4 linked regions of the Arabidopsis thaliana genome follow. Each later gene encodes a partner of the first gene's protein in a complex. Each region holds a gene or a part of one and is shown on either strand. Other genes may lie near its edges.

What was found.
Region 2: ARPC1B (region 1) and ARPC3 share a complex: the UniProt entries of both Arabidopsis thaliana proteins name them as parts of the arp2/3 complex.
Region 3: ARPC1B (region 1) and AT5G65274 share a complex: the UniProt entries of both Arabidopsis thaliana proteins name them as parts of the arp2/3 complex.
Region 4: ARPC1B (region 1) and CRK share a complex: the UniProt entries of both Arabidopsis thaliana proteins name them as parts of the arp2/3 complex.

The regions. Positions count from the first base shown.
Region 1 is NC_003071.7:13,344,054-13,353,465, reverse strand, and holds ARPC1B (actin-related protein C1B), read left to right. Parts: upstream 1-3,466; 5' UTR 3,467-3,678; coding exon 3,679-3,748; intron 3,749-4,114; coding exon 4,115-4,203; intron 4,204-4,398; coding exon 4,399-4,475; intron 4,476-4,578; coding exon 4,579-4,673; intron 4,674-4,789; coding exon 4,790-4,859; intron 4,860-5,117; coding exon 5,118-5,187; intron 5,188-5,422; coding exon 5,423-5,496; intron 5,497-5,583; coding exon 5,584-5,626; intron 5,627-5,755; coding exon 5,756-5,837; intron 5,838-5,967; coding exon 5,968-6,056; intron 6,057-6,153; coding exon 6,154-6,239; intron 6,240-6,408; coding exon 6,409-6,472; intron 6,473-6,705; coding exon 6,706-6,806; intron 6,807-6,919; coding exon 6,920-6,978; intron 6,979-7,085; coding exon of another isoform or gene 7,086-7,153; exon of another isoform or gene 7,154-7,418; coding exon 7,419-7,489; downstream 7,490-9,412. Other genes in the region: LBD14 (LOB domain-containing protein 14), read right to left, coding at 1-100, 203-481; INH3 (inhibitor-3), read right to left, coding at 2,234-2,557; AT2G31290 (Ubiquitin carboxyl-terminal hydrolase family protein), read right to left, coding at 8,068-9,315. UniProt on the Arabidopsis thaliana protein: Functions as a component of the Arp2/3 complex which is involved in regulation of actin polymerization and together with an activating nucleation-promoting factor (NPF) mediates the formation of branched actin networks.
Region 2 is NC_003070.9:22,262,422-22,269,485, reverse strand, and holds ARPC3 (actin-related protein C3), read left to right. Parts: upstream 1-3,409; 5' UTR 3,410-3,654; intron 3,655-3,724; exon of another isoform or gene 3,725-3,737; 5' UTR 3,738-3,803; coding exon 3,804-3,806; intron 3,807-4,003; coding exon 4,004-4,112; intron 4,113-4,187; coding exon 4,188-4,457; coding exon of another isoform or gene 4,458-4,489; intron 4,490-4,546; coding exon 4,547-4,689; 3' UTR 4,690-4,707; intron 4,708-4,829; 3' UTR 4,830-5,101; downstream 5,102-7,064. Other genes in the region: PANK1 (pantothenate kinase 1), read left to right, coding at 416-458, 570-734, 900-946, 1,053-1,169, 1,595-1,714, 1,804-1,898, 1,973-2,066, 2,163-2,294 and 2 more; AT1G60420 (DC1 domain-containing protein), read right to left, coding at 5,243-5,914, 6,005-6,484, 6,629-7,064. UniProt on the Arabidopsis thaliana protein: Functions as a component of the Arp2/3 complex which is involved in regulation of actin polymerization and together with an activating nucleation-promoting factor (NPF) mediates the formation of branched actin networks.
Region 3 is NC_003076.8:26,081,919-26,088,084, reverse strand, and holds AT5G65274 (ARP2/3 complex 16 kDa subunit (p16-Arc)), read right to left. Parts: upstream 2,786-6,166; coding exon 2,688-2,785; intron 2,610-2,687; coding exon 2,537-2,609; intron 2,493-2,536; exon of another isoform or gene 2,447-2,492; coding exon 2,346-2,446; exon of another isoform or gene 2,261-2,345; coding exon 2,125-2,260; downstream 1-2,124. Other genes in the region: GCL1 (GCR2-like 1), read left to right, coding at 16-192, 287-489, 795-906, 1,065-1,291, 1,374-1,956; RABA4a (RAB GTPase homolog A4A), read right to left, coding at 3,535-3,982, 4,416-4,648; AT5G65260 (RNA-binding (RRM/RBD/RNP motifs) family protein), read left to right, coding at 5,101-5,223, 5,343-5,442, 5,652-5,722. UniProt on the Arabidopsis thaliana protein: Functions as a component of the Arp2/3 complex which is involved in regulation of actin polymerization and together with an activating nucleation-promoting factor (NPF) mediates the formation of branched actin networks.
Region 4 is NC_003075.7:733,381-740,009, forward strand, and holds CRK (ARP2/3 complex 16 kDa subunit (p16-Arc)), read left to right. Parts: upstream 1-2,272; 5' UTR 2,273-2,395; coding exon 2,396-2,484; intron 2,485-2,566; coding exon 2,567-2,639; intron 2,640-2,709; coding exon 2,710-2,810; intron 2,811-2,934; coding exon 2,935-3,070; 3' UTR 3,071-3,585; downstream 3,586-6,629. Other genes in the region: AT4G01700 (Chitinase family protein), read right to left, coding at 1-107; AT4G01703 (uncharacterized protein), read right to left, coding at 872-985. UniProt on the Arabidopsis thaliana protein: Functions as a component of the Arp2/3 complex which is involved in regulation of actin polymerization and together with an activating nucleation-promoting factor (NPF) mediates the formation of branched actin networks.

The sequences.
Region 1 (9,412 bases):
CCTTTTCTTGTTGCTTCATATTACAACCAGGATCATCTTGAGGGAACCTTCTCGAAGCTTCTTCTCTAAGTAGAACCACTTGTGCTTGTAAACTAACAACCTTAAGAACAAAGTCAGTGAAGTTACTTGTAAGTACACTAGAGATGATGAAGCAAAAGCAAAAAAAAATTATGTATACATTTCCGAAGAAAAAGTATAATACCTGTTGTTGGAGGGAGAAGATTTGGGAGACGCAGCCGTAAATAGGATCATGGAGACGAGAGTGAGCCTCGTAAGAGATGGTTCGTACGGCGTCACATCGGTCATGATCAGGGAGATGAGAAATGAGCTTAGAGAAGTTGCTAGCTCCAAACACTTTGTGAATGGCTGCAAAATTAGAAGATCCTTCTTCGTAGCAAAAGTATGGTGCAAATACACAACCCTCTACACATTTCCTACGCAAGAACTTGCATCCTCCACATGGTGAGCCTAAACCTCCCATTCTCAAAACGTAATTATAATCTATTGATATTAACCAACTATTACTATCTTGTAGGAATATTAATACTTCATTACTTATACTCTTCTAGTGACGATTATATAGTGCACGAGTGTTTATGGTAAAGGACTAAGGTGGGATTTATGATAACTCAACTTGTTATTTTACATATTTGTCTCTCTAATGGCTTACAATTACAAGATTGCAGCTTTTATATTTTCCCTCAAGTTTATATTGTAAAACATCTCTCTAATATTCAATAACTCGTTGTAATATATTATTGAGATTAAACTCTTAAGGTGGAGAATATTCTTAAGAAAATATTGAGAGAACCATATTAATATTAAGATCCGATCAAATGAGAGATTTGGTTGACGTATAGGACAAAACAATGAGTAAACATGAACCAAACCCAAGTTGCTTTTTGTTGTGGTTTTAGCTTTTTTTTAATTCATAACTAATTTACTCTCTTATTTTATTTAGAAAAATAAATTAGAGTTTACTTTTAGTGTTTGTTTAGTTGAAAATTTACATGTACTTGTGAAATTATGTTAAGATTGTTGTCATTATTGCTTAATTTGGAAAACAATAGTTTAAGATTTAACAATGCTCAACATATACACCACATAAGTGATTGAGATGTGTGTAGAATAAGAACAAAGGCATTTGATATTAGTAGTATATGAGACAAGTTATTTCTATATCTCGATTTAAATATTTTAAAATGCTCTCAGTTTCGATCAAACTTTACAGACTAGAAAAATAGAGAGACCCATGATTATCCAGCCCACATATTAATCATGAATCATGATTAACATCAAAAATATTCCAAAATAATTGATCAAGTACAAAAGTTAAATTATTCGATAATAATGAACAACTGATAGTGGATTTATGACTTAATGTTGGTTTAGTGGAGATTAAAAATAGTAAGAAAAATTTGAGTTTGAAGCTTTATTTTTGTTTTCTTATCTATGTTAAGGATTTCGGGTGTCTTTAGATATCCTAACTTGTGCCTAGAGTTTGCGGAAAAGACGGAGTTTTGGTCAAAGAAGGACCGGGGAACAAAGAAATAACAGAACCAGTACGGCCATGGGATCGGTCTCACCAATGACTGATCTAGGACTCCTCAAACAACCCTCATAAGCCACATTGGCCGTGCCCATCAGTCAAATGCAGATCCAATATCCCTGGAGCCAACTAAATAACCCGCATCGATCAACCATCATGGTCATAGAGCCACCGATCTAGCCAACCAAACCATCCGACCAGTAGCTACATCGTTCTGCCATATCGGTCATATTTTTTTATCGATCCTAATCACAACCCATCTGATCCAGAAGCTGCATTGATCCCAACATCGGCCAATGAAACCCAAACATTATACTTACCCTTTGCAAATCCTATTCTACTGGGAAAATAATATAGTGCTCATCTTTTAATTGATGAAACCCGAACATTGCATTTTGAGAAATAGTATGCAGTCGCAAAAGCAAAAGCAAAAGCATATTCAAATGTAGAAAGAAAATATAACATCCTTGTAATTCTTTAACTAATTAGCAATCTTCAATGATTCACATCATTTTCAACAGAGTATGAAGGAGTTAACATTGCAATGAATCTGCAAATTACTTGTACATATACATAACGCCCAACCAGGGTTAGATAGGAGAAGAGACCAAAACAACAAATGTGTGTTCTTCCATGATCTATTAAAAAGCTTCAATATATAGTAACGTGAAAAAACCTGATTGATTAGTCAACGGCTTTAGAATCATTAGAAGAAGATGCCTCACCAGATTCGGAGTGTTCATGGTTATGATCACAGTGATGGTTGTTATCATCTTCTTCTTCACTGTCATCCTCATCAAAAGGCTTCTGTTTATGAAAGATGCAACACTTCTTCGAACTCTTCTTCTGCATAAACTCATTGTCTACAGTCCCATCTTTCCATGAAACTTTCTTCTTCTTCCGGTTCAACCGAAGCACTAATCTTTCAGTAGGTTGTGATTGAGAAACAGGGTTTTCTAATATGACAGAAGTTGTTGCTGAAGAGGAAGGCCTTGTTGCTGTGCTCATAGCTGAAGATTAGCTTTCAAAATCTGCATAAAAGACTAATTTCATAAGGTACCAAAATACAAGAACAGAGAATAAAAGTTCTTAATAGTAACAACTAACAACATGCTTAAGAATGACAAGAGCTAAAGATAAAAACTAAGACCTTAAACAAAATCGTAAAACAGAACAAAGCCTTTAGGGTTCATTCTTTAGGTAAACAAACCAAACAGATGCTATTTCTCTAACCCTAAATTCATTGCCTACGAGATCTGAACCCTAATCATTCCTAATTCCAGGGGATAAACACAAATCGGTGATATGAAATTGAGAATCAAATGTTGCAGTAAACAATAGAGAGACCTAGTTTCGATCGTAGAAACAATAGCGAAACCTAAACCTAGGGGAAAAAAAGATTCAAAGAATCAAATCGACGAAGAAGCAAACCTGTGAATCCCCAAGGAGGAAGGGACGCTTGTTGAATCGAGAAACTTTTTTTTTTTTTCGTTTTGTTTTTTTTTTCTTTCGCCGATGGAGAAATTTAGTCGCTCCAACCAAAAAAAAAAAAAAAAAAAAAATTCGGTCTAATTTTATATTTATTTTCTAAGAAATGTTAATATATATATTAGAAAAAAGACTAATACAGTGTAATTAATTTTGAGAAAACTATAATGTTAACTTATTTGGGATTCGAAAACTGAATATATAGAATGACTTTATAAGTTACTCATACTCATAGTGAGGTTTAGTTCAGATTTTTACATGGATGGATTTGATTAAATCCAATTATGTATATTTAAGTATTTAACTAATGCAGAATTTAGATCTTATTTTTTTTTTTGCTTATTATTATGCTGGGCCGCCCCTAAGACAGGGCCAAGGAAAATAGAAAATGATCTGGTCATAAAAAATTGGGCTATAAGAGTAAAATAAAACACACAAACAAAAACATCCGTCTCTTTCACTTACACTTTCACTTCACGTTTGCGACTGTGTCGTCGTCAAGCTCCGGATCTCATCGGCGTTTCATCATAATTATCTGTCCATCTATTCACCGTACGACTCCGTTTTAGAAATCTGTAGATGTCAATTTGAGAGAAAAGACTGTCTTCATTACAACACATTTGGGACAACAAGGATCACTCATGGCAGTGGTGGATGTTCATCGTTTCGCTGAGTCAATCACTTGCCATGCTTGGAGTCCTGATCTCTCCAGTATGTTTCTAACACCTCTCTGATTTTGTGATTCTCTTCTTTCTCTCTTCCGTCGTTTTTCTGTTTTTAGAATTATAAATGAGGAGGATCTTTAGTTAGTTTTTCTGAATTGACTTGTGTTATTCTTATACATCTTGGTAATCAAGTTTCTTCTAAATCCCTATAATTGAGAATTTTCGAGTCAATGTTTTATATGTCTGTTTGTCGGTGTCTCTTGTTAGGAGCACTTGGTATCTAGTATTGTACATTAGTAGATGCGCTTTTCTAAACAGATGAACCAAATCTATTGTTACAAATGATTTAACGTCTGTACTAAAGCCTGTAACCATTTATGTGCTTTGACATTTGTTTCGTTTTTCTTGGTAGTGGTTGCTCTCTGTCCTAACAACACTGAAGTTCATATCTATAAATCATTGTCTCAAGACCACTGGGAGAGGTTACATGTCCTCCAAAAGGTGAAACCTTTCTCTCTCCCTCTCTTTCTGTAACTTTTGAACTTGCACTCCTTTTGCTTTCTCTTCTTGGGAATTCCTTACTTTCGTATATTTATGTATTCTCATTTCACTGATCACTTGTCGCTGATAAGTGTTGTATAGACAGCTTGAATCTCCCTTACAACAACTTCATGATTATTGTTCGTCTTGTTGCAGCATGACCAAATTGTTTCTGGAATAGATTGGAGCTCAAAGTCCAACAAAATCGTCACTGTTTCTCATGACAGGAACTCGTAAGTTGCTACCTTTGATATACTTTGAGAAACTCCAAACCTGTTAATCTTAGTCCTTCACTTTTTTTCGTTCGTTGAACTGAGTTTAGAATGCTTCTTGAAGGTACGTCTGGAGCCTGGAAGGAGCTGAATGGGTACCAACTCTCGTTATTCTTAGACTAAATCGTGCTGCACTTTGTGTCCAATGGAGCCCCAAAGGTAAATGTTTAATTTTTCTGGTTCTTAAGCTTAATTTCCGTAATATATCATGTAATTTTCCTATAATTTCTACAGCTTCTAATCTATGTTCTCATCTTTTTGCTCAATACCCATAGAGAACAAGTTTGCTGTTGGAAGTGGTGCTAAAACTGTTTGTATTTGCTATTATGAGCAAGAGAATAACTGGTATTTTCTTCTTCTGCTCCTAATTCTCATTATTAGTCCTTGATTTTTTCTTTGGCAAGTTTCCTGACTTCTTTGCTACGAATGGTGTTGTTGGTCTATGTAATGATATTATCTTGTCTTATGTACTGGCATGATATTAGCACCAATCATATTTTTTATTATCTTGGCATGCATAACTGTGTATTGTTTAGAGATTTTAGAAAGATACTTTCATGTAAACTTTTAGTATCTGACATTGCTTGGCTTTACTGTTTGCAGGTGGGTCAGTAAGCTAATCCGGAAAAGGCACGAATCTTCAGTCACATCTGTTGCTTGGCATCCTAATAATGTACGTGCAATCAACAGAACCTCTTGTAGTTCATGTAGCCAAAATATTAAGCAGGCTCTCTGTAAAAGCTTTCTCTACCAAAAATATTCTATAAGTTGGCCACCAGATTGAGTATAGAGTACATGATCCCTAAAAATAGAATATCAATCTCCACAAACTAGTTAATCTTCTAAATCATTTTTTCTCGTATGCTTTTTTATGTTGCTGTGCTCTCTGATTGTCTGTTATGCATTAGGTTCTTCTGGCAACGACATCAACAGATGGAAAATGTCGGGTATTTTCAACATTCATCAAAGGAGTTGACACAAAGTATGCTCATTACTTGAACGTCTACTTTTAAGACATTTTTTCAAACATGAGGCCATTTCTTATTTTTCTTTCAATGGGCTGATACAGGGATTCAAAAGCAGGCTCACCAGCGGAAACGAAATTTGGGGAGGTTCGACTAGTTTGGCTGGCTTTCCTTCTTTTAGTAAATATTATAATTCTTGTGCCATATATATGTTCCGTCTACTCTCTCATCTAATGTTAGGGAGTTTTTTTTTCTACTGTGGCTTTGTTGAAACAGCAAATTCTTCAGCTTGATCTCTCATATTCTTGGGCATTTGGTGTTAAATGGTCTCCAAGTGGAAACACCTTAGCATATGTAGGTCAGAAAATCCTTCAGACTTGGGATGTTTTTCCATTGCGCTCTACTGAAATAATACAATGGAACTTCAACTTGGTTGCAGTTTTTACTACCATCTGTCATACTTTGCGTGTTTATGTAATCATGTATAGGTCATAGCTCCATGATTTACTTTGTTGATGATGTTGGCCCTTCTCCTTTAGCCCAAAGCGTTGCATTCCGAGATTTGCCTCTTCGTGATGTGGGTCAGCATCCACCTTTATTTTACTTTTGAGAACCTGGTTTCTCCGGTGTGTTATGTCCTGAATTGATATATTATGGGGAAATTGCTATTTCAGGTCCTGTTTATTTCTGAGAAAATGGTGATAGGGGTTGGATATGACAGCAACCCGATGGTATTTGCTGCAGATGATACTGGAATATGGTGTGTAACTCTCAGAAATATCTGCTTAAAATTCTCTTTCTTAGGGGTTTGCATACTATCAAATTTTCAGTTCTTTTATTCCTCTTAGATCACAGGCCGGATTGTTGGTTCTGAAACGAACCACTACCAATAATTGCTTCGTTTACAAGTTTTTGTATTTGGTCTGTAGGAGCTTCATAAGATACATTGGAGAGAAGAAAGCGGCATCTTCAGGTTCCAGTTACAGTTCGCAGGTACATACCAAATCTTCTTTCTTATATTGCAATATGTCTGGTTTTAGCCTTTTAGTGAAAAAAATATGACTGAACTTTAACTTATCCCTGAGTTGTTCCTCTAAAGATCGTAATCTTTGGGGGTTAGTGTAGTTCCTCTCTTTCTTTTTTTCTTGGATTTACGATACGACTTTCCACTTGCATTATTTTGTTGTGTTGTGTCTGACACATCTGTTCATTATGTTATTTTTCAGTTTTCCGAAGCGTTTGGAAAATTCTACGGTAGTCAATCAAAGTCTACAACAGCCAACGATGCTTCTGATTCACGTGGAGGCGTTCATGATAACAGCATAACGTAATTGTTTCTTTATCTAACTTGGCTTGTACCAAATCATTTGCCAAAAAACTGTCTCTTTAGCTCTTTTACTTGATTATCTGTTAAGAGCTGACGTAGAAGTTTACCTGCAGTTCCATTGTGCCTCTGGGCAAAGGAGGGAGTCCTAAAGTTATGCGATTCAGCACTTCAGGTCAGTCACTAAATTTAAATTTATATAACCCTTCATGGAATCACCCGATTCAATTCATACAAAATGACAGGTTTCATTAGCTCGCATTTTCGGTTTATTATTTATAGGATTGGATGGCAAAATAGCCATATGGGATCTAGAGAACATGCAACAAGAACTTGGCAATCAGTTTTAATAAAATCTGGATCAGTAGTCAGCTTACTTAATTTGTATATCAGATTTTGTTTCGACTAGCCTTTTCACCTTTTTCCAATTTCGTAATTGTCACACTTGGTAAACTGCATAATAAAGGCCATGTTTTCCTGGTTTGTGTAAGGGCAGGTGTTATTAAGTTTTGAGCTATGCCCTTGTCTCTGGATCTTTGTAATATCTTGAATGCTCTATCATTTGATTCATTATACGAGTTGGTATCTTGTATATTAACATAATAACATTTTCAGCTTTGTGTCGAATGAGTTCTCCGGACAACAACCACAGAAATGAATGCTATATATCAACAAACTTGAAATGAATCTTTTCATCTGTGATGATATATACAATCCAGAATGAAGCTGACACTAGTATCATCTGACATAATCATCGGGGAATCAAAAGCTCCGCTTAATATCTGTGTAATCAAAACATGGCTTACATCAACTGAAGCACGTACGTACGGTCTTCAGGGGTTAGAAAATTTGACCACTGGTATGTCCTTTAGGAAGCTGCAAGGTGACTTTATACACAGACCAAATGTGAAACCAAGAACACATATCGGGAAAATTCCAAGTACGTGCAAATGTTTTCACTCAATTTCTGGACCACGTTCATGAAGTATATAGCATTGTTTCAGAGAACTCTTAACTCTTGATTCCCGCCCAAACTGAACTAAGTGAAAGTATTCCAGCTGCCTTAATTCACAGATTCTATCTTGATCTAGCATCTGCGGGGAACAACTCGTATTTTGCATTTGTTTACAAGCATATTGTGATCTTCGTAGCTTTCAGAAAAAGCACAACGTCTTAGAGATTGCAGACTATATAGGTAAATTTTTCTCCATTGGGTGTCACTGAAGAGAATCTGAAGAGAACGTCCAACTTTACCAGAATGTTCTTATTGGGTGTCACTGAAGAGAATCTGATAAAACCTTTTTCTCTCTTCTGGATCAAACAGACCACCTGGTCGATCCCCATGGTTTTCTTCTTCATCGACATCATCTCGATCGTGGTTCCTGTCTTTCTTTCGCACCACAGGCTTCAAAGATTCAATACCTTTCTCTCTCTTCTTCTCTAGATTAGCCAAATATCGCCTGTGATTATACTCATACAAGCCCTGCTGCATCAATTCCCCAAATTTATCCTTCACAACAACGAGCGGGTCCTTGTGAATCAATTCCGAGCCATTGTATCCTTCTCTGAGGATCACAGTGTGAACCTGATACTTGTTTCCAACGTAGAATATGCCTGGATGCTTCAGAAGCATACCATTTAGCTTCTCCGGTAACCCAAATTCCCTCTTGAAATGACTCAGCTTTACGATTGACAGCTTTTTCCACAACGTCAACGAGAGTAACTCGTGCACCAAACCAACACTTCTCTTCTCACTCTCCTTTGAACCCTCAACAAGATCCCCATGATCCTCATACGGAGATATGTAAGGAAAGGCATTAAACTCCATGAACCTCTCCCACGGTTTGGTCCACGTGGAAGGTAGAGAGCAAGAGAAACTAGGCTCAGAGCCACATTTCTTTGCTGCTGCTTCAACTGCAGAGACAGCCAACTCAGGCTTCCACAACAAAAGCTCAATCTCCATTGAACTCTTCCTACCACTATAATTCACTAACCGAAACACATCTGAGTACTTTGGAACTATTCTGATAACATAATCATCAGGGAATCCAAAGCTCCGCTTAAACTCGTTAAGCTTCACGACATTGAGACGCTGATTAACACTCAACATAAGCAGCTTTGCAAGCCTATCTGCGAGTACAGGCTCTTGTGTATCTTTGACCAACTCTTCCTCTTCCACAAGCGTCATCATCGGTTTCGTTAACCTACAGTAATACTCATCGTTCTCGAGATAAACATGGAAACAACAAGGGTATTTCTTAAGCCAATTCAAGGCTTTCCCCTGAAGATCAAGAGTCTTAAACTTCTTCTGTAGAAACTTAATCGATGCAACCTGATTGGGACACCTTAAGATAATGTTCTTGAGCCGACTGTTAACAATCCATCGCTTGTTACGCGAGAGAGCAGATTCGAGATCAGGGTCTTTCTTCGTTGACCAAAGTGAGAATCTTCGGATTAACAATGGAGCATACTTGGTACCCAGAATCCGATATAACTCTCGTGTCATAGCCATATCAGTCTCTGACTACCAAACCTAATCAAACTCAAACTTCAATTATTGACGAATGCGATTGGTTATAAGCAAAAAGAAATAGAAAAGCCTCCACCTT
Region 2 (7,064 bases), on another chromosome or scaffold:
TATTATTTTATTTTTTGGCATCGAAATTATTTCTATTCTGGGAGAGCGTTTGTATTTCAAATTCTATTTTTTTTGGTCAAAACAAAACACCTTTAGATTACTTTTCAGTTTCTTACATTTTAGTTTAACGCACAGAAAAAAAAAAAATACTATTTTCTATCCAATCCGGAGAAGACTAAATGACAGGTCAGCAAAATTCGTCTCTCTTTCTTTTTAAAAGAAAAATTATTGACGCAATCAATACAGCCAAACATCGCTCCATGAAGAAGAAAAAACAACAACAACAAGTCAGCCATGGAGAAAGAGAGAAGAAGTAGATAGATGGTTTAGATCCAAAGTAGTTGATCGTTGAAATTTATTTCTATTTAACGTTGAAAAAAGAGAATTTTGCAAAAACCCAAACAAAAAACCCGCCATGGATCCGACTCAAATCTCTCATTTGGCTCTCGACATCGGAGGTAATTTAAAAATCCAAACTTGGCTTTGTTTCATTCAGTTTTAGAATTTTTCGGTTCTGGGTTTGTCTCGAATTAACCGGAATTGGGGTTTTTTTTTTTCTGGTTTCGTAGGGACTCTGATCAAGCTTGTGTATTTCTCTGCAAATGGAGATTATAGCGAAGAGTCTCGTAATGGTTGCTCTGTTGTGAAAGGAAGGCTTTGTTTCGCTAAGTTTGAGACTAGAAAGATTGATGATTGTTTGGAGTTTATTCGATTCAATATCCTTCATCATTCCGGTAAAGTTTTGATTTTTATGATCCTAACCTCTGATTCATAATCGGATTCATATGTACTCAGAAGTATTATGTCTATTTGCAGTAGTAATGTATGAGTCATTAGCTTACTGATTTCGAGAAAAGTTGAGTTCTTTTGATATTTCACTGACAGAGGTAACTATTCAGGTGTACAGCAACCGAATGGCGAAGGTCATGATAAACTTTATGTTAAGGTAAAAGCTAGCATCGGTTATAGTTTGGATAAAGCTTTGTAATGAAGAATGTTGAAGTGGGATTTTTGTTTGTAAGTTGATTATGGTATGGTATATTATTCCAAAGGCCACAGGTGGTGGGGCATTTAAGTTTGCTGATCTCTTTAAGGAGAAACTTGGTATTCTTTTCGATAAGGAAGATGAGATGTGTTCTCTTGTTGGTGGTGTTAATTTTCTACTAAAGGTTTGATTTTTTTTTCTATCCTATCATCATCTTCTATTCATTTTTCCTCAAACATAACCCACATGAGGATATATATGTACTCTGAATAGTCTAGGCTACACGTTGCTATCACTCATCTTTGTCAACACTTTTTGCTAATTCTTTATGAGTGAAGTTGTATTATGTTTCCCTGATAGTGATCTTGGCCTGAGTGTTGTTGCAGACTAACGTCTATAAGACTGAAAATATAGCTACATTAACATTTAGGACATTATAAATTTGAAGATGGTGATCATTTGCAATTTTGATTAAATGAGCTGTGCTCCCTGAGGTTTTTTAACCGATAGTTTCTTCATTGCATTAAAAGCATCTGTGGCAGAATAGTTTTTGATAAACTTCTTATTTCTGCCATTTTAAATTAACAATAGATTATTGCATGATTGCAGACTGTCCCAAGGGAAGCTTTTACCTACTTAGATGGCCAAAAGAAGTTTGTCGAGATCGACCATAATGATTTGTATCCATATCTACTAGTCAACATCGGTTCTGGCGTTAGCATGATCAAGGTTCATTCTGGTTTTGGTTTCTCTGATCTCTCTGTTTTTGTTTGCTACTACACCAGCGATGTTGCTTACTCAAACTCGTTCTTATATAGGTCGATGGAGATGGAAAATATGAGAGGATAAGTGGAACAAGCCTTGGCGGAGGCACATTTTTAGGTCTTGGGAAGCTTTTAACAAAATGCAAGAGGTGACTTCTTAGTTAAGTCTATTAATGTAAGTTTCCTCCTTGCCTGAGTAACAACTAATATTTCTTAATTTCAGTTTTGATGAGCTGCTAGAGTTAAGCCACCATGGAAATAACAGAGTAATTGACATGCTTGTGGGGGATATCTACGGTGGAACAGATTATTCAAAGGTAATTGATTGATCCTGGTTTTGCTTAAACATGTCTGAAGACTTTTAGATTAGATTCATATGTTAATATAACCTTTTGTTCATTCTTTTTTGATAGATTGGTCTCTCCTCAACAGCTATCGCTTCCAGCTTTGGGAAAGCGATTTCTGATGGTAAAGAACTTGAAGATTACCAGCCAGAAGATGTGGCAAGGTCCCTTCTAAGAATGATATCAAATAACATCGGTCAGGTCAGTTCCTCTGAACATTTTAATGCCATTTTAAAACATAATTTGAAGCTGATGATATTCTGATCGAATTGTAACGTTTTCTACTCTCCCTCCAGATTGCTTATTTGAATGCTCTCAGATTCGGTCTTAAGCGTATTTTCTTTGGTGGATTTTTCATCCGTGGGCTTGAGTACACCATGGACACAATCTCCGTTGCTGTTCACTTTTGGTAAATCCAAAACCGAAACTACTTAATCAAATCCCTCCATATCTTAAACTCATGTATGTCCACAAAATCTTTATCGAACTTTCTCATTTTTCCTTCTCATTTCAGGTCGAGAGGTGAGGCAAAGGCAATGTTTTTACGACATGAAGGGTTTCTTGGAGCATTAGGCGCTTTCACGAGCTACAATGACCAGAGCCATAACGATTTAAAACCGCATCATCACACTGTGCAAAGAGCAATTCTCAACTGTTCAGGTCATAACTTTCGGCACATCCCAGTAACTTCAAATTTAAACGAAAGCGAGACCATAGAATGTAGCATCAATTTAGTTTAGTTATCACCAGTTGTATTATTATCAATTCAGTGTAGAAATATGTTTAATCAACTGTTTGAGTCAAGAGCTGCTCATTACTAGTTTGTTGAATGTTAGACACATTTATGTAAGATGATTCACGTATTAATATTCATGTATGACCAATGTAACTTGTACTATATATCACACAAAGAATCAAACACACTTATTAAATCTCACTAGAGCTTCTTTAAATCTCGGTTTAGTCCGGTGCATTGCAAGTATTTGTGCATTTCTGTTTAGCCTTTGTTTACTAAGTTTTGTATATTGCTTATGTAACAAGTTTTTATCCATTCAGCAGAAATAACAGAAACTTGACACTTATATGGACATTTTGTTGTTGTTGTTGATTGAAGATCAATGTTTAATCCGGTCAAACCACTTTGATGTAACCCGAAACTGAACCGAAGAATGAACCACATCATTATTTGGTTTTTGATGTACCTAATTCCAGTGGTCGATAAGAAACCAAATTTCAAATAAAAAAACCGAGAAACTCAAAAATCAAAGCTAAGCCGGATTTAACATTGGTTACTCCCGGTACGAAGCAATGTACCACATTCATGGAGTCTTACACGTGTCATCCATACCTCTCTGTCTTCTTCTTCTTCTGTTCTTCATTCCTTTTTCCTACTTCGTCGATTTTCCATTTCAATTTCTTCTTCAGCCGGCGATTAAGCTTCCCAATAAGACAATCTCCGACCGCCGCAACATCACGAAGGATTCTTCACCGTGTGAACTTTACGCAGTCTTTCCTCTTTCGTAGACGCTAAAGAAGTTGAAATTGATCTGATCTCGTTTAGGTAAAAACTTTTTCTTTCTTCATCTATAGAATCAATCGTTCACCTAAATTCTGATTCTTATATATCCAAGATCTTAATTGCAGCAGATCTACCTTCGATTCGATTCTTCTCCTTCCTGATATCGCTTCATTGTTCAAATTCGGCACAAAATGGTACGGATCACCATTTTCTTATCTTTCAATTAGCATTAATCGCATTTCATTTTGTAACTAATGAAATTAGATTAGATCTTCGATGAGATTTTTTTTATTTATTGAGCTTGTTTCACTTTGATTTGGTTCCATGGAGTATTTAACTCTGCGATGCTCATTTTGTTTCCTTAATCCTTGTGATTAAATGCTCTGATCAGGTTTATCACTCGAGTTTTGTGGATGAAGAAGGAGTAACAAAGGCATGTGGTTGTCCATTGCTTCCTCTCAAGAGTCATATAAAAGGTCCTGCACCTGTTTCAGAACAAGGTAATTAATCAAAACATGTGATTTTTTTCAATTGTGCGATCGAAAGCTTTTGTAAATTGTTGGTTTTATATGCAGATAAAACTGATATAGTAGACGAGGCAATCACCTTCTTTCGTGCTAATGTCTTCTTCACAAACTTTGATATCAAAAGTCCTGCTGATAAGCTCCTTATTTACTTGACGTTTTATATAAATGTGGCGTTAAAGAGGCTTGAAGGCTGTAGAACATTGGCTGTTGGAACTAAAGCGATTATCAACTTGGGTTTAGAAGATATTCCTGTTCCTGGAGAAACTGGCTTTCCTTTCCCAGGTCTCTTTTCGCTTCCGCAGTCCCAGGACGAAGCAGGTATATATACATGTCTAAACAACTCTTATTGATTTTTCTTTCAGTTACTTGGTCCTTAGCCTTGTGTTCTGTTTGGCTTCAAATGTCAGAGCTTTTCAGGAACTATCTTAAGCAGGTTCGAGAGGAGACAAGTGGGAGGTTACTGAGTGTAGCATATAGAGCCAACGGGACACCAAATAAATGGTGGCTTGCATTCGCCAAGAGGAAATTCATGAACGTGGTCGTCCTATGATAAAACAGAGAATCACTGGTAAGTATCACTTTAGTTTACTGGATCCAAAATCCCACGTGATCTTAGATCCATCTCAAACAGTTCTACATTTCAAGCTTAAAATGTTTTTCTTTTGATCTGATTTTTTCATAATTTAGCAGCTGGTTATTCTTCCTTGCTTGCTGCCCATTACGAATGAGGGAATCCAAAGCCACTGGAGATCATGAGAATCGCCACCTTTAGCTTCCTCTGCATAGGTGTTAGCCACTGGAACCAGGAAGACGAAAATTTCATCTGAGAGCAGAATGCTCTCTCTCTGTATCTCTTGATATATACATAGAGTGTGCCAATGTATTGTTTCATACAACTCCTGTTGGAATATAAAATTTGTTGATACAAGATCAAAGTTAAATAAGAAGATTCTTTTATTATTACTTTAGATTAACAGAGTTTATCTCCAAGGTCTTAATCAGATATCAGATTGTAACCACACATTCTCACTCTTAGCAATTATACAAAGAAAGGAAATAGCTTTGCATACACATAGTGACATAACTGTGCCTGAAGCTACCTATCAGGCCTTGGTGCATACGTTTCCTTCACAAACCCAACCATCTTTGGACTCGTCGCCACCAACTTTCACAGCCTCATCGCCGTTTTCTTTTGTGTCCTCGTTTAAAGCACACTTGGCGTGAAGATCAAAGTCGCATTCGTCGCAATGGTAAGACCATATTGTCCCTTCTTCCTCACACTTATCGCATGTGTAAACCTGAACACGAGTTAGTTCTAGCTCATGTTCTTCATGGAGAACATGTTTCACCTTCTTAGGCCAATCTTTTGCTATCTCATCGTACTTAGCTTCAATCTCCTTCAAACGTTCCTCAGTAAAAGGGTAAGCATCGGCTCCATGGGCTACGACAAGGTCCCTTGCTTCTTTTGTTACGGTTTGCCCAGTTGGTCCCAGAGCTGCTAGCATTGGGATCCCACCAACCTTAAAGGTTTTTGCCAAGGATGCTTTCCTAGGATCACCAAATGGAAGAGCCAGCCACGGCATTTGCGAATAGTACTCATCGAATGATTCCTGGTCACGGTCACTGGAGATGAAGATCAATTCAAACGCTTCATTCCGCTCCTTTATCTGCTTGTATACTTCAACAAGCTTTGGTGTAAAAGCGCGACAAGGAGGACACCAGTGAGCTGAGAAGTACATAAGAATAGTCTTCCCCACCAGATCCGAAACAAGCACCTAACAAAGAAAGCCAAATTTTTACAGGTTGGTTCAGATCAGCCTTGAAGAACAGTGTTTAGAAAATGAAGAGGGTATCGAGAGCTATACCTTTGCCCCATCTTTTCCGAGAACGTAGTTGAGATCACCTGAGACAAGAAGTGACTCGAGCGTTTGAGCCTCTACCTTTGCCTTTTCTAGCTCCTTGAGTTCTTGAAACTTCTCTGGAGTGAAAGGATACGCAAGAACTCCATAGTCATCAATAGCTTCAGCGACATTCGAGTGACGGGTTTTTCCATCAGGGCCGAGAATGACCAGTGTCGGTAGTGTTGACAGCATGAAATGCCGAGCCAATTTTGATCCACTTTTGTCGTTGAACGGCAATGCTAGCCATGGCTTGGTCTTGAAGTCTTGATTAAAAGACTCCTCATCATCTTCAAGAGATATCAACACAATCTCAAAATCCTCCTTATTCTCCTTCAGCTTCGTATAAAACTCAACAAGCTTTGGAGTAAGCTCTGTGCATTTCCTGTAAGAGGCCACAGAGAAGAGAAGGCCAATGGTTTTTCCCTCAAGCTCTGATACGGGTACCTAATGAATATGCAATTGATCGGTCTCATTAAGTCAACAAAAGAGAAACAGGTCCGTAATAACTAACTAATGCAAGAGTCTTGTATAGATATAATCTTCCTATTGACGAAAAAGAATCTGATCTCACAAGCTATTAATGTGCACCTTGTTTCCGTCAGGCGAAATCACAAAGTCTCGTGAAGGAGTCACCAAGACAGATCTTAAGGTCTGTCCTCTCCGAGCTCTATCTTCATCCTCTTTGATCTCCTTCATTTTCTCTGGTGTGAAAGGATAAGCATCAGCTCCATAGCTTCGTATGACCCCAACACCATTCTCATTCACAAGTTTACCATGATCATCAACCATCACTAGGTTAGGTATTCCCCTAACCTTAAACAACTCATCCAAACGGTCACGGGTTTCCGAATCAGTAAACGGAACAGCGAGCCAGGGCATCTTTCTGAAATAATCTCCAAATGACTCTTCATCCTCATCACCTGACACAAACACAATCTCAAAACCAACTTTCGAAGAGAGCTCGTTGTAGACTTCCACCAGCTGTGGAGTAAACCGCTGACACGGTCCACACCAAGCAGCTGAA
Region 3 (6,166 bases), on another chromosome or scaffold:
ACAAAGGCGAGAGCTATGTCGTCGTCGGTGGATTTCGTGACGGAACAGGGGAGATGCGGCGACGATGGTAACGGCGCCGGAGAGACAGTAAAGAATGGCGAAATTGATCATTTGCTTTCCGAACCGTCGGCTCCGACTATTTCTCTCCCTACGGAATCTTTCCTCAGAGCAGCGACGTTACTCAAGAACCAGGTGCGTTACGATAACTATGCGACGCCCCAGACGGCTAATGTAAGCCTAGTCCGTACGTTCGCTCATATATGTTTTTTGGTCGATGTATGTATAGGTTGTGGAGGCCACGTGGAAAGGTGGTGTCGAAGCTCTTGCCTCTGGTTCGGGTCCAGTGCTGGATCCGACTGTGTACACAGGACTACTCGGCACAGCGTTCACCTGCTTGAAGTCGTACGAGGTAACGCGGAACCATCAAGATCTGCTAACTTGCGCAGAGATAATCGACACGTGTGCCAACGTTGCGCGTGCCACAACCAGGTGAAAATATCTTCGTCACTAAGTTGCTTAGCCAAGTAAACATCAAATATCATCTTCCATAAAAAAAAAAAATGGAATCTAACCATTTTAAAGAATATTCTTAATTAAAATCTGTCTGATAGAAAACACATGTGTGAGATTGAGTCATTACAAAGATGTCACTGTTTAACCAATTATAGTTTATAGAAAATTATGTATGTATGAACGAATTTTCAGGTTCTGGAATAATAACAATATCTACACACCCATTAGAATGGACTTGTCATTTTCTAACAAATTATTGGACTTGTTATGCTCATGAATAGGCACGTGACATTTTTATGTGGAAGAGGAGGAGTTTGTACGCTTGGTGCAATTGTAGCCAATTACAGAGGGGACCAATCAAAGCGTGACTTCTTCCTCGGTCTTTTTCTTGAGGTTCCAATCTTTTTGACTTCATACACCATTTCTTTTGCTTACAACACTTTCAGATAAAAGCTATAGATTCAGTATTTTGATCCAACGTGTCATATATTAACCCTTAAGCAAGATTAGTGAAGTGACGAGCCTTTAAGATTTGTTATTCTTACAAGCAGCTTGCAGAAGAGAGAGAGTTACCAGCAGGACCAGAGGAAGGAGGATTTGGGATGTCATATGACCTTCTCTATGGAAGAGCGGGTTTCCTTTGGGCTGCTCTGTTCCTAAACCGATATCTCGGCCAAGGAACTGTTCCTGACCATCTCTTATCACCCATTGTTGCAGCCATCTTAGCCGGTGGGCGAGTTGGAGCTGCAGATCATGAAGCTTGTCCTCTGTTATACAGGTTTCACAAAATAGCTATAGTTTGTTAAAAGAGAATCCTGTTTATCTTTAGTAGGAATTGATCTTACTTTTGTGGCTTTTAGGTTTCACGGAACGCGATTTTGGGGTGCTGCGAATGGATTAGCTGGAATCTTGTATGTATTGCTGCATTTTCCACTATCGGAAGAGGATGTTAAAGATGTTCAAGGGACATTGAGGTATATGATGAGTAATAGGTTTCCGAACAGCGGAAACTACCCGTGCAGCGAAGGGAATCCGAGGGATAAGCTAGTCCAATGGGCTCATGGAGCAACCGGCATGGCCATTACTTTGGCTAAAGCATCTCAGGTGTTTCCCAAGGAAAGGGATTTCCGCGAAGCAGCCATTGAAGCAGGAGAAGTAGTGTGGAAGAGTGGCTTGGTGAAGAAGGTAGGTTTAGCTGATGGAGTTGCTGGTAATGCCTACGCTTTCTTATCCCTTTATCGCTTAACCGGAGATGTTGTATATGAAGAGAGAGCAAAAGCGTTTGCGAGTTACTTGTGCCGTGATGCGATAGAGCTCGTGAATATGACAAGCCAAGAAACAGAACATGATTATTCGCTATTCCGGGGACTAGCTGGACCAGTATGCCTCTGGTTCGATCTTGTGTCGCCGGTAGATTCTAAGTTTCCTGGTTATGAGATATAATTTAAAACCAGGTAACCGTAGGTTCTTTTATGACTATCTCTTTGTGAAAGGATCTTAGGTTCTCCGGTTTATTCCACTTTCTATAATCTATTGAAGTAACTTGAGATTTGGGAGAAACATTCATAGAAAACAAGAATAAAAGTAACATGAAAAGATCAGCTTAATGGTTTAAACGGTATTGGTAGTATCACTCAGACAACGGAGAATGCAACCGAGACCAGCTCTCTCTGTTAGTTTCTCGTGAATCATCAAACACTGTTCGCATGTGGGTTCGTCACCAGTCGAAAGACCTCTGTACAAGTACCTGATCCACACCATTTAAGCAAACAAAACACTGCTTCCACATCACGCTAATTAAAAGCTAGCAGAGCAAAAGGCAAGAGACTTACTTCATGAGAATGTCGTAATACTCGGCAGTAAGAGAATTTAACATTCCTTCGATATCCTTTATCGCCATGATAGCTCTGTGCACAACTATCCAATTAGCTGACTGCAATTTCACAGATATTTATCATAAATTACACAATCTTTTTGATCATGAACAAACTACTTATGTGCATGGTAGAGGAAACAGTAGGACCTTGCAACGTTCGTCGAGAGTTTTAGGTGGCGAACCATCAAGAGCCGTTTTAAGAGCTTCGACATGTTTGTAGCTGAATAAAACGAAGTAACAATTATAGCCTAGGTCATCTGAGAAAGTTGGAAGAAAAAAGGAACTTTAGGGTTATTACTGTTTGAGTAAGCTTTCAATCTTCTGCGATTTGGTTTCGATCCTTGCCATTATTTCCTCTGCATTATCAGCTTCAACAAATGCTGCTGCACCAGCCATTGGATCTCTCTCTTTCTCTACACTCTCCAGCAAAATTATCTAAAACCTAATCAATTAATTTCATTTCTTCATTCAAATCGACAACTTGCTGCATAAGAAACATATGATTTGAGTTTACTAACCAAAGGAGGCAATGCAAAACTTGTCATCCCCATAAAAAGCTAAAAAGAGAAGTAACAATCACGACAAAATCAATTCTAATCACGTAAAACAATCCATTGCCGATGGTACGCAGATTTCTCACATCATATCAGATCAGTAATCCTGAACTTTCTGATCAAATCATACAAGATTGAAGAATCAAGCAGGATTCGAAGATTACCTGAAATTAGAGAGAATAAAGCAATCGAGTGGTAAAACGGCCGAGTGAGAATTTATCAGAACTGTGATACCAATTATTAAAATCGGATGCTTCAGTTTTTAATTTTTACTTTTTCACATTGACGTAACAAGAGAAATAGAAAAGTTGTTATTGCTGGTATATATTTGTAATTAACAAAAATGTAACAATAATCTTACAAATGTAGAGAGAATAAAAACATGTTGATCAAATTAATATCCAATTTTTAAGATCAAATTAAGATCGGTTTGTTATACTTGGATTCAACACCCCAAAACCCCACAAAAACTGCTCATTAAGCAACAAATGAATCACACAGCTCTAGATAGGAGAAATATCCCAATCAGAGTCTTTAAAACATCTATATATTGTTGTTATCAAGTAACATTCAAGAATTGAATTGGTTTATCTAAGAGTTACAACACATGTTACTCTTGTTTGGTATCACTTGACCAGGACCTGGAACAATATCAATCTTCTTACCAGCAAGCGACCCGGGATTACCATTCTCTTGATCTTCACTCGCAGCCAGACTTTTCTTGTTCACAATGTTGAAGATCTCAGTCAAAACCGTGGAGAAAGCGCTCTCAACATTGGTTGCGTTAAATGCAGATGTCTCCAAGAAGAACAAACCTTCTTTCTCCGCAAATTCTTTCGCATCTTCTGTCGGTATAGCTCGTTGATCCACAAGATCTGACTTGTTCCCAATAAGGATTATCACAATGTTCTTATCTGCATGAGCACGTAGTTCTTCTAACCATCTTGGGATATGGTCAAAGGTTTGGCGTCTGGTTATGTCATACACCAACATCGCCCCAACCGCTCCTCGGTAATATGCACTTGTTACTGCTCTGTATCTGTTTCAACCAATACCACACATATAGAAAGATATACAATGTAAGCATATGATAAGCATGAAATGTGGTGGTTAGCTTACTCATTAAAGATCAGTGAATGTATAAAGTTGATGAAGCATCACTGGGAAATGTATAACAAAAGTGTCCAAATTTGTACCAATCATAAAATTATAGAAGCTTAATAACATTGGAATAGTAATATACATAATTCTAGTCTATACATAATTTTGAAATCCCAATCCCAAATTCTCAATGATTCTACCATTTTACTTCAGATCCTCCCAATTTCGTATACAGATCAGTAAGCTTTACTAGAATTCGAAATCCTAAGCAGACCTATCATCTTCCAGATCTAGAGAAACAGTAAAATCTTACGAGATCTAAGTTCAAGCAATTGAAGTAGCTAAAAGTTCCGGGAGAGGTCGGAGATTACCGTTCTTGGCCGGCGGTATCCCAGATCTGAGCCTTAACACTCTTGTGATCGATAACAAGCGTCCGAGTCTGAAACTCAACGCCGATGGTGGCCTTAGAATCCAAACTGAATTCGTCTCTAGCATAACGAGCCAGTATCTGTGATTTCCCAACCGCGGAATCGCCGATCAACACCACTTTGAACACATAATCAATCTTCTGCGACGGATCTCCGTATCCTCCTCCACTAGTCATCTTCTTCAACGTCTCTCTCTCGCTAAATCCTCTCTTGCTAAATCCTCTGTTTTAAGCTTTTACCGAAAAGTGAGCTTTTTTGAAGTTTTAAACGCAGAGAGAGATCTGATACGGTCGTATTGTCGTCGTTGTCAACTATTAGTCAATATTTTTAATTAATGATGACGTGTCTAAATATTAACCGTTGGATTCTGCCGGCTCGGTGAGATTTGACGGATTCGACAATTATCTTTCTGTCAGGCGCATGTTTTTGGGTGATGATGTCATCAAATAGGGTAATTTCGAATGTTAAAAAGTCTTTTAAAATTGGGCCTTATTAGGCCCATTAAGTTATAATAAAGGGCCGTTATTTGGTTGATTACGTGTCGCTATCCGAATTGACAAAAAGTGACCTAAGCGTTTTCAGAAGAAAACAAAGCAAACGTCGCGACGGAGAGAGAGCGAGAGAGACGATGGAGGAAGAGGAGCACGAGGTTTACGGTGGTGAAATTCCAGACGTCGGAGAGATGGATGGAGATATGGAGGCTCTCAACCCCGATTTGGATATGGCTGCTGCTGATGATGATGCGGTTAAGGTCTACTATTATCTCTTTCTCTCTTACTGTTTTGCTCATCTTTATGTGACTGAGCTCGATTGATTTGTTATCGCGTGTATATGTGTTTGATTGTTGTGTTATTGCTGTTGTAATTCTAGGAGTTGGATGAAATGAAGAAACGATTGAAAGAGATGGAGGACGAAGCTGCTGCTCTGCGTGAGATGCAGGCTAAGGTCGAGAAGGAAATGGGAGCTCAAGGTTTTCGTCTCTTTGATTTGGTTTTGCTATAACTCGCTTCTTTGATATGATTATCATCGTGCTTCCCGCAATTCGCTAGGTTTTTGATAATTGGTAGCTACTTGGTGGTGTTTGAATCCATCTTAGAATTCCACTGTGAATTATGTTATGTATATGGAGTTTTTTTTTGCTTCTTGACTAAAGTTTTTGGTTCAATTTTGTTATTCCAGATCCTGCTAGTATTGCAGCGAATCAAGCAGGCAAGGAGGAGGTTGATGCTCGATCAGTTTTTGTTGGCAATGTAAGAATATTTATGTTTCTGCGTCGTTTTCTTTCTTTAAGCCATCTTAGCTAGCTTCTGCTTTATTTTCATAGTTTTTAACTCGTATTGATCTTAATGTTCATTGGATTAGACTATGAATTGTGCCTTTTTTAGCTCTCTTGATACAAAACCTTTTATCTAGGGTGTTAGAATTATTATCGTAGAAATCTATTATCTGATTATGTTCTCTTCCTGATCCATGATTGCATTCTCTACATTTAGTGCTTGAATATATCACTAGTTTACTCTGACTTTTGGTGTAATGTCACATCTTTGTTGCTATGGATTCTTGTCTATTCAGTGAGAACTCTTATTAGATGAAATTGTTGAATGGTAAAAAGTTGGTGCTTAGCGTGAAGACTTTATCTTCAAATGAAAACTAGTGAGGGGTTTCTGTTGTTAGTGATATTGAGGGTTTTGGAA
Region 4 (6,629 bases), on another chromosome or scaffold:
GCGGGTTTATATTTATTGTGTTTTCGAGCTTCGGTTTCATGGAGAGAGGATGATATTGAGAAGATGAAGAGGAGTAGACAGAGCAATAGAGAGATTTGTTTCTCCATATTTGTTCTTTTTTGTGTTTTGTGTGAGAAGATGTGGTTTTGGCTTTGTTGTTATATAGAGTCATAGAGATGTAGTAGTGGACGACTTAGTTACATGTTTTTGTTTTGGTCTACGTTTTGACTTTTTTTAGTGGAGTTTATACTTTTTATTTTATATAGTTGCAATTATTTAAGGGTTTATTCTCTTTTTCATTGTTAGGAGACCCATTCCTCTCCTTCTTCTTTTTTCTCATTTTTTTTCTTTCAAGAAGATTCATTCTTGATTTGGAAAATGCATGACATATATTTCAAACCAGATAAAGTGAACCATTTCAGTCTGAATTCAATTGAATAATGTTAATATGAAGACCAAGTTGAATTTTAATGTGGGGAATTAAGCTTCTTTGGAAGGTACTAACCAAATTCAAATATAAATATATTCTTTGAAAATTTGAAACATAATTCATTATGAAGTAAATATTAAATAAAACAGAAAGTGTTCCATACTGAATTATAGTTTCATTTTGAATACTATTCTATACAAAAATAAAAACAATAAAAAAAAATTGAGAGAAATATTAGCAATGAAAACAAAACTATCAAAGAATTGTTTTTGAAGTTAAAAAATATAAAATTTCAAAGTTCGAGGTCGGTGGCTAACTAACATGAAAAGCGCCGAGCAACTTGTGATATGTACGAGTTGGACCAAGTCGTGACGACTTTTTTAATAAGCTTAAGATCCAATTATTTCTCAAGAAAAACAGTAAAACGTACGCCAACATATATTAACTACGACGACAAAATTCTTGGCCTTTAAGAAAGACTAGTACACGATCAATCCCAACGATTAAACCAGCAGACGAGTAACCATATGTAGGGTACGAGTTTCTCAACCACATCTCCAACTTTTCAGTAGACGATCTAATTATGTTTAACCACTAGAAGCCGACACCATAAACATCCATCCGAGGTTATCGTCTTTCGAAGAGTTCCTAACGAGCATTCATGAAACATCATTCTCACTTCTCCTCCCACTAAACCGACTTTTTTCGGATGTTATTTCAAATTTGGTTAATTGCTAAATGATTGACCATTAATTCGACCACGTGATTACACAAAGAGACGTTTAGATCCACTACATTGGTGCGATGTGAAGTGATCACCATGCTTTAGTTTACACGTCCACTTTATATAGGTTTGGCAGTTAAAAAAAAGAAGTTTTATACATAGTTCTATCAAGTGGTCTTAGACCGAATCTTGGCAATATATTTGTTATAAGACTACCAATATCATTAATGATTAGAGAAAGTTAATGTTAAGTTTCATCAGATTCTAATTTAAAACCAATGGGTAATGATTGGATTGGTTGTGTTCCATATATACTAGTGTTAGCACTTAGCAGTCATGAGTGTGTTTACTCCATTTATAGTATACTTTCGATGTAGGATCCTAATTAGAATGATAAAGAAACATTCCAAAAGAGTATTATCAAAATGCTCTTCGTCTATCCATACAAATATAATGAGATTTGGGCAGAAACAACCATTTTGTTAACATATTAGGGTCGAGCGCAGAAAAAAATATATTTTGACCTGTGTTAATAAAATAGAATAGGTTGCGATTTTAATTAAGGAGGTTAATAAATTAAAATCGTAAAAATGATACCAAAATGGTAACAAAATCGTAAAGAAAAGTTCATTAGTATAAATATAAAAAATTCGGTCCAACAAATATTACTATTAAAAATTTATAAGAGAGATTTATAATAAAAAAAAAATTGTTATACCAAGAAAGAAAAGGAGATTCTTGTATTGTAACCCGTTTGTGTGTCTTTTTTAGTCTCAGATTTGTTTTAATTTTCTATGACTTAGGATTTGTAAGTCTTTTTTGGATTTCTAGAACCTGATCGAGGAAATTTCAATGAATATAGTGTAATTGGTTTGTTTGGATTTTGTTCCCTTTGTTTACCTTGTTTGGTATTTGGCTTCGGGAGTGTTCTTGTACTCATCGGCTTATGTCTCCGGAAGTGGTTTGTACTTGCCGGCTCTTGTATTTCAACTTGAATCCTATCGATGAAAATCCTATTGACAAAAAATGAAAAAAAAAATGAAGCTTCCATCATCCATCATTCAGTGGCAGCATAAGCATTTAAGACTACGTGCCGTTTAAGGCCAAGACAAACGGCACTCAGTTCCCTTTTGAAATGGTCAAATGGCGATTGAGTTGTTTTCCTCTCTCTCTCTCATTTTTTCAATTAAAGAAGGGAAAGAGGGGAAATCTCTGATCGGAGAGAAAGATCGAATCGAAGAATGGCAGAATTCGTTGAAGCTGATAACGCAGAAGCAATAATCGCGAGGATCGAAACCAAATCGAGGAAGATTGAAAGCCTACTCAAACAGTAATATCAGACCTTGGAGCTAAACCCTAAAGTCTTCTTTTGTTTTTGGTTTAATCCCTTATCGGTGTTTTAATGTGTGCAGGTACAAACATGTAGAAGCTTTGAAAACGGCTCTTGAAGGTTCGCCTCCGAAAACTCGCGATGAACGTTGCAAGGTCTCTCTCTTTCCGAAACCATCTTTTTTTTTTTTTTTGATTTACTGAGCCAAAAAAAACTCAACTGCAGTCGGCTAATTGGATAGTTGTGCACAGAGCTTTAATGGCCATTAAGGATATTGACGGAATGCTCAATGCTCTTGATGTCGAATATTACGACATTCTCATGAAGTAAGTGCAAAGTTGGTTTTTTTTTTTTTTGCTGTAATGCGTTTTGTAATATGTATGAATTGGAAAGCTCTATCCTCAGGCTGTCTGTGCTCTTTGATAGAATGTTTTTGCTTAAAATTCTCAGGTACTTGTACAGAGGACTTTCTACTGGGGACCGACCCACCTGCGATCAGTGCCTGAAGATTCACGAGAAACTCACTGAGAGAGCTGGTCTCGGTTGCATTCTCCGATGTCTTACTGATACCATCAACACCGTTTGATCCATCATTCCCTCTTATGTATTATTACTTGATGCCTTGATGTTTCCAATGTGCATATTCTCCTTGAGGAACCATGTCTCACATTTATCAGTTTTAGACTTGTATTTTCATTACCAAACAGTTGCTTGATAAATGATAACACAAGTCATTCCTAGAGCTCATGTGTAACATAATTCCCGGATCAGCTGAATCATAAATACGAAGACCAAGTTGTGATTAAGTAATTTTAGGGGGGTGTATTGAAACCAGAATCTTTTAGAAGATTTGGTGGAATTTGCATTCTTCTACAGACCAAATCCATTCTCGATTTTGCCGGTGAAGAACAGAGACCGAAAGCTTTTTTCATGGAAGACGAGGGGAGGAGGACAATGAGAATATGTCGCAGAGATTTTCTGTGAATCTTTTTTTAAATCAAATCGTTCAGAATAACACCTACAGGTGAGATTTTTTCATGCTTATTTTCAACTAAATTTTTTTGCCTAAGTCTCCCAGAATCAATGTTAAATGTTTTTAATGAAATTGTTTTGTTGAGTTTAGATAACAGTGGATTTAAGATGTGTTTTATAAATTCTTGAATGAATAACAGAAGATTATAGATTCTTTTGAGTGATTTTATATAAATTCCAATTTCAATAACAAAGGATTTGAGAAAAAAATTACAAATCACAAGTTGAATACAACCATTCCTGATTCACTGAATGTTCATAACTCGAAGGCCCAATATCGAACTCAGCCCATTGAAACTAAATTCATTTCTAAACTTTCAATGTAAATGCACTCGTCATACAAGAGTAAATGTTCACATAGTTAGTCATTGATTTAAACAATTTTACTCTTTAGATTTTTAAAATTTTATAGGATTGTAATAAACCAGGTTGAATTCAAATGTCAAATAGCGTTAAATAAAAGTTTAGATCTTTTTTTTTTTTTTTTTTTTTTTTATCAACGTTAGTACAAGAAGAAACAAGAGCAGCTTTTGCCAAAGCATCAGCTTGATCAACGTTTCCTTATAAAAGACAAAAGCAATTAAGTTTTTACTTTTACAGTCTTTTTGATCAAATTAAATGAGTAATTGAGTAGTAGTAGTAACAAAAGGGAATCCCAGAAATAGTAGTTGCTTTCACATGAAAAAATTTCCAAATACAACAATTTTTATTTATTATTTATAGCATCCGGTAGTTCCAGATGAACTCTTGAAAACCTATTTTCAATAAATCTGATGATCCTCTTTTGATATTTCAAAAATATTAAGATATATAACAATATAAAAAAATTGTCAGCTAATTACAAATTGTTTTCTCTAAAATTCAAAATTACCAATAAAAAAAATGATGTCTTTAGAAAGAAATAGATAAGTGTTTTTGTGATAAACGTTTAAATTATTGTTTATGTACTCAGATGTTTTCGGAGATAAAATGGATTATATGGAGTCTGATGTGAATTCAATAACTTACCAAGTATTAGTGCATGGGAGAGCGAATTCCCTTCTTCTTCTTTTTTTACAGATTTACGTGGAAGCAATTTTGAGTGACAAAAAAATAAAATATAAATATAAATATATATATATATATATATATATATATATATATATATATTTGAGCGACCACTGATCACAAACGTTACGTTTTTAAAAAATTCAACCCAATTCGTAACCCTAATTTTTAACCCAAAAAAAATAATCCTAAACCTAATAAGCTATATATTCACTATATCTTTTGTATTTGTTTTATTGGGTGAGAAAACTTGTTCAATTAGTCAGTAATTGGTTTTCGTTCTCACTCACCAAATCCTAATTGTCATGGTTTTGAAAATTATTAAATCTGGAAGTAGAACATATAGCGTCGAGATAAATATGCTACCTCTTATATCCTTTTATGTTCTTGCCTTTTTTTTTTTTTTGGGCATACTCTAGCTAAAACAATTTAAGTTCAAGTTTCAAAATATTTTTATACTGTATGTTTTTTTGAATACCAAAAAATCCAAAAAATATTTGAAAATATCCGCAAATATATAAAAATATCTAAAATATTCAAAAATATCTGAATAAATACTAAATTTCTGAATTGAAAGAACCGAAACCAAATCCGAACTAAACCAAAATTGTTTTGATTTTTATATGGTTCTTTAACTCGAGAACACCGAAATAATCAGAACTAGACTATAATCGAATCAAAACCGAACCGAATACCGAATCGTGCAGTTCGAACGGCACATGTGGCACATGTGCATTTATGAACTAATTATAAATGAAGATCCATGTAGGTGCATCTAAGTTTGATTTTCTTTTTTAGTTTTTCATATAAAACATTGAGTATTGTCTCTTTAAGTTTGGTTTTAGAGAGGAAGGACCGAAAAGAAGAGTATTAAGAACCAAAGAGGTATTTTCCGTAAAATATGATTAAACCTAACATATCAATGACAATTAGATGGTCATTCCTTTGACTTTTGTTAGACCATGTGGACAAAAATGCACACATACAAACATGTTTATATATATTTATATATATTATCATCTTTCATTAGACGTGCATATCGGTGGATTATTTAGTTAATTATATATTTGAGCAGACAAGCTAACTATAATATATATCTATATTCTCCCAGTTGTCCACAAAAAGAAAGAACAAAAAACAAAATTCTCCCATATGATGTCTTAAAAATATACTTTCTCTCATATCATAATTCATATATAATATTTGGCTGATCGCAATTTGAAAACGTTCAAATCGTGTTAGGAGGAAGCAAACTTTGATTTGCTTTATCTAATAACATTTACTATAACGAATTAGTACAAAATTTATAAACTCAACAAAATTAGCCATTCAAAACTCAAAACTGAAGTAAAGACTCACAATTAGGAGCAAACACAAGTTGAAACCAAAATAATTTTGATTTACAACAAATACGTTTATCTTTATACGAACGTGTATACATCTCTACTGTAACAGATATACAGTGCCATAAATATAATTACAAATTGTATTTATACACATGTTGTTGAAAGTTTGTTCTGTTAACTTTTCTTAAACAAAAGAAGAAACATCATGAACCTCAACAAAGAACACTTTGTGAGTAATTAGAGAAATAATATATTTTTAATTAAAGCGACCAAAAGTTAAATATGTTATTTATGTATATATGAGTTTTTTTTTTTTTTTGGTTTAGTTAGTTTTACATTAATCTATTTACTTTAGTTGTATGTTCTCGACTCACTTCATAATCTTAGTACATGTGGAGCTTTTTCCGAATTTTATCAAAAAACAACTCTTGCGATATTAATATAACTAACTGACTAAGTTATAATAACCTAATTCTCACATATTTATTTACGCGCGTGGTTGAGTACACATACGTCGTGATGTGCATAATCAACGAATGATTTCTTAAAAATATATCTACAAAATAACCCCAAAAAAAACTAATTCGGGAGTGAGTGTGAATCTTTGAATGAATTGTGGATATGAATTTAAAGAGGTCGCTCCATTTTCAAAGTCACTACGAAAAAGATTGGCAATTTGATGGCTAAACCCCCTACATGCTGGTCCCATTTAATTTTGGA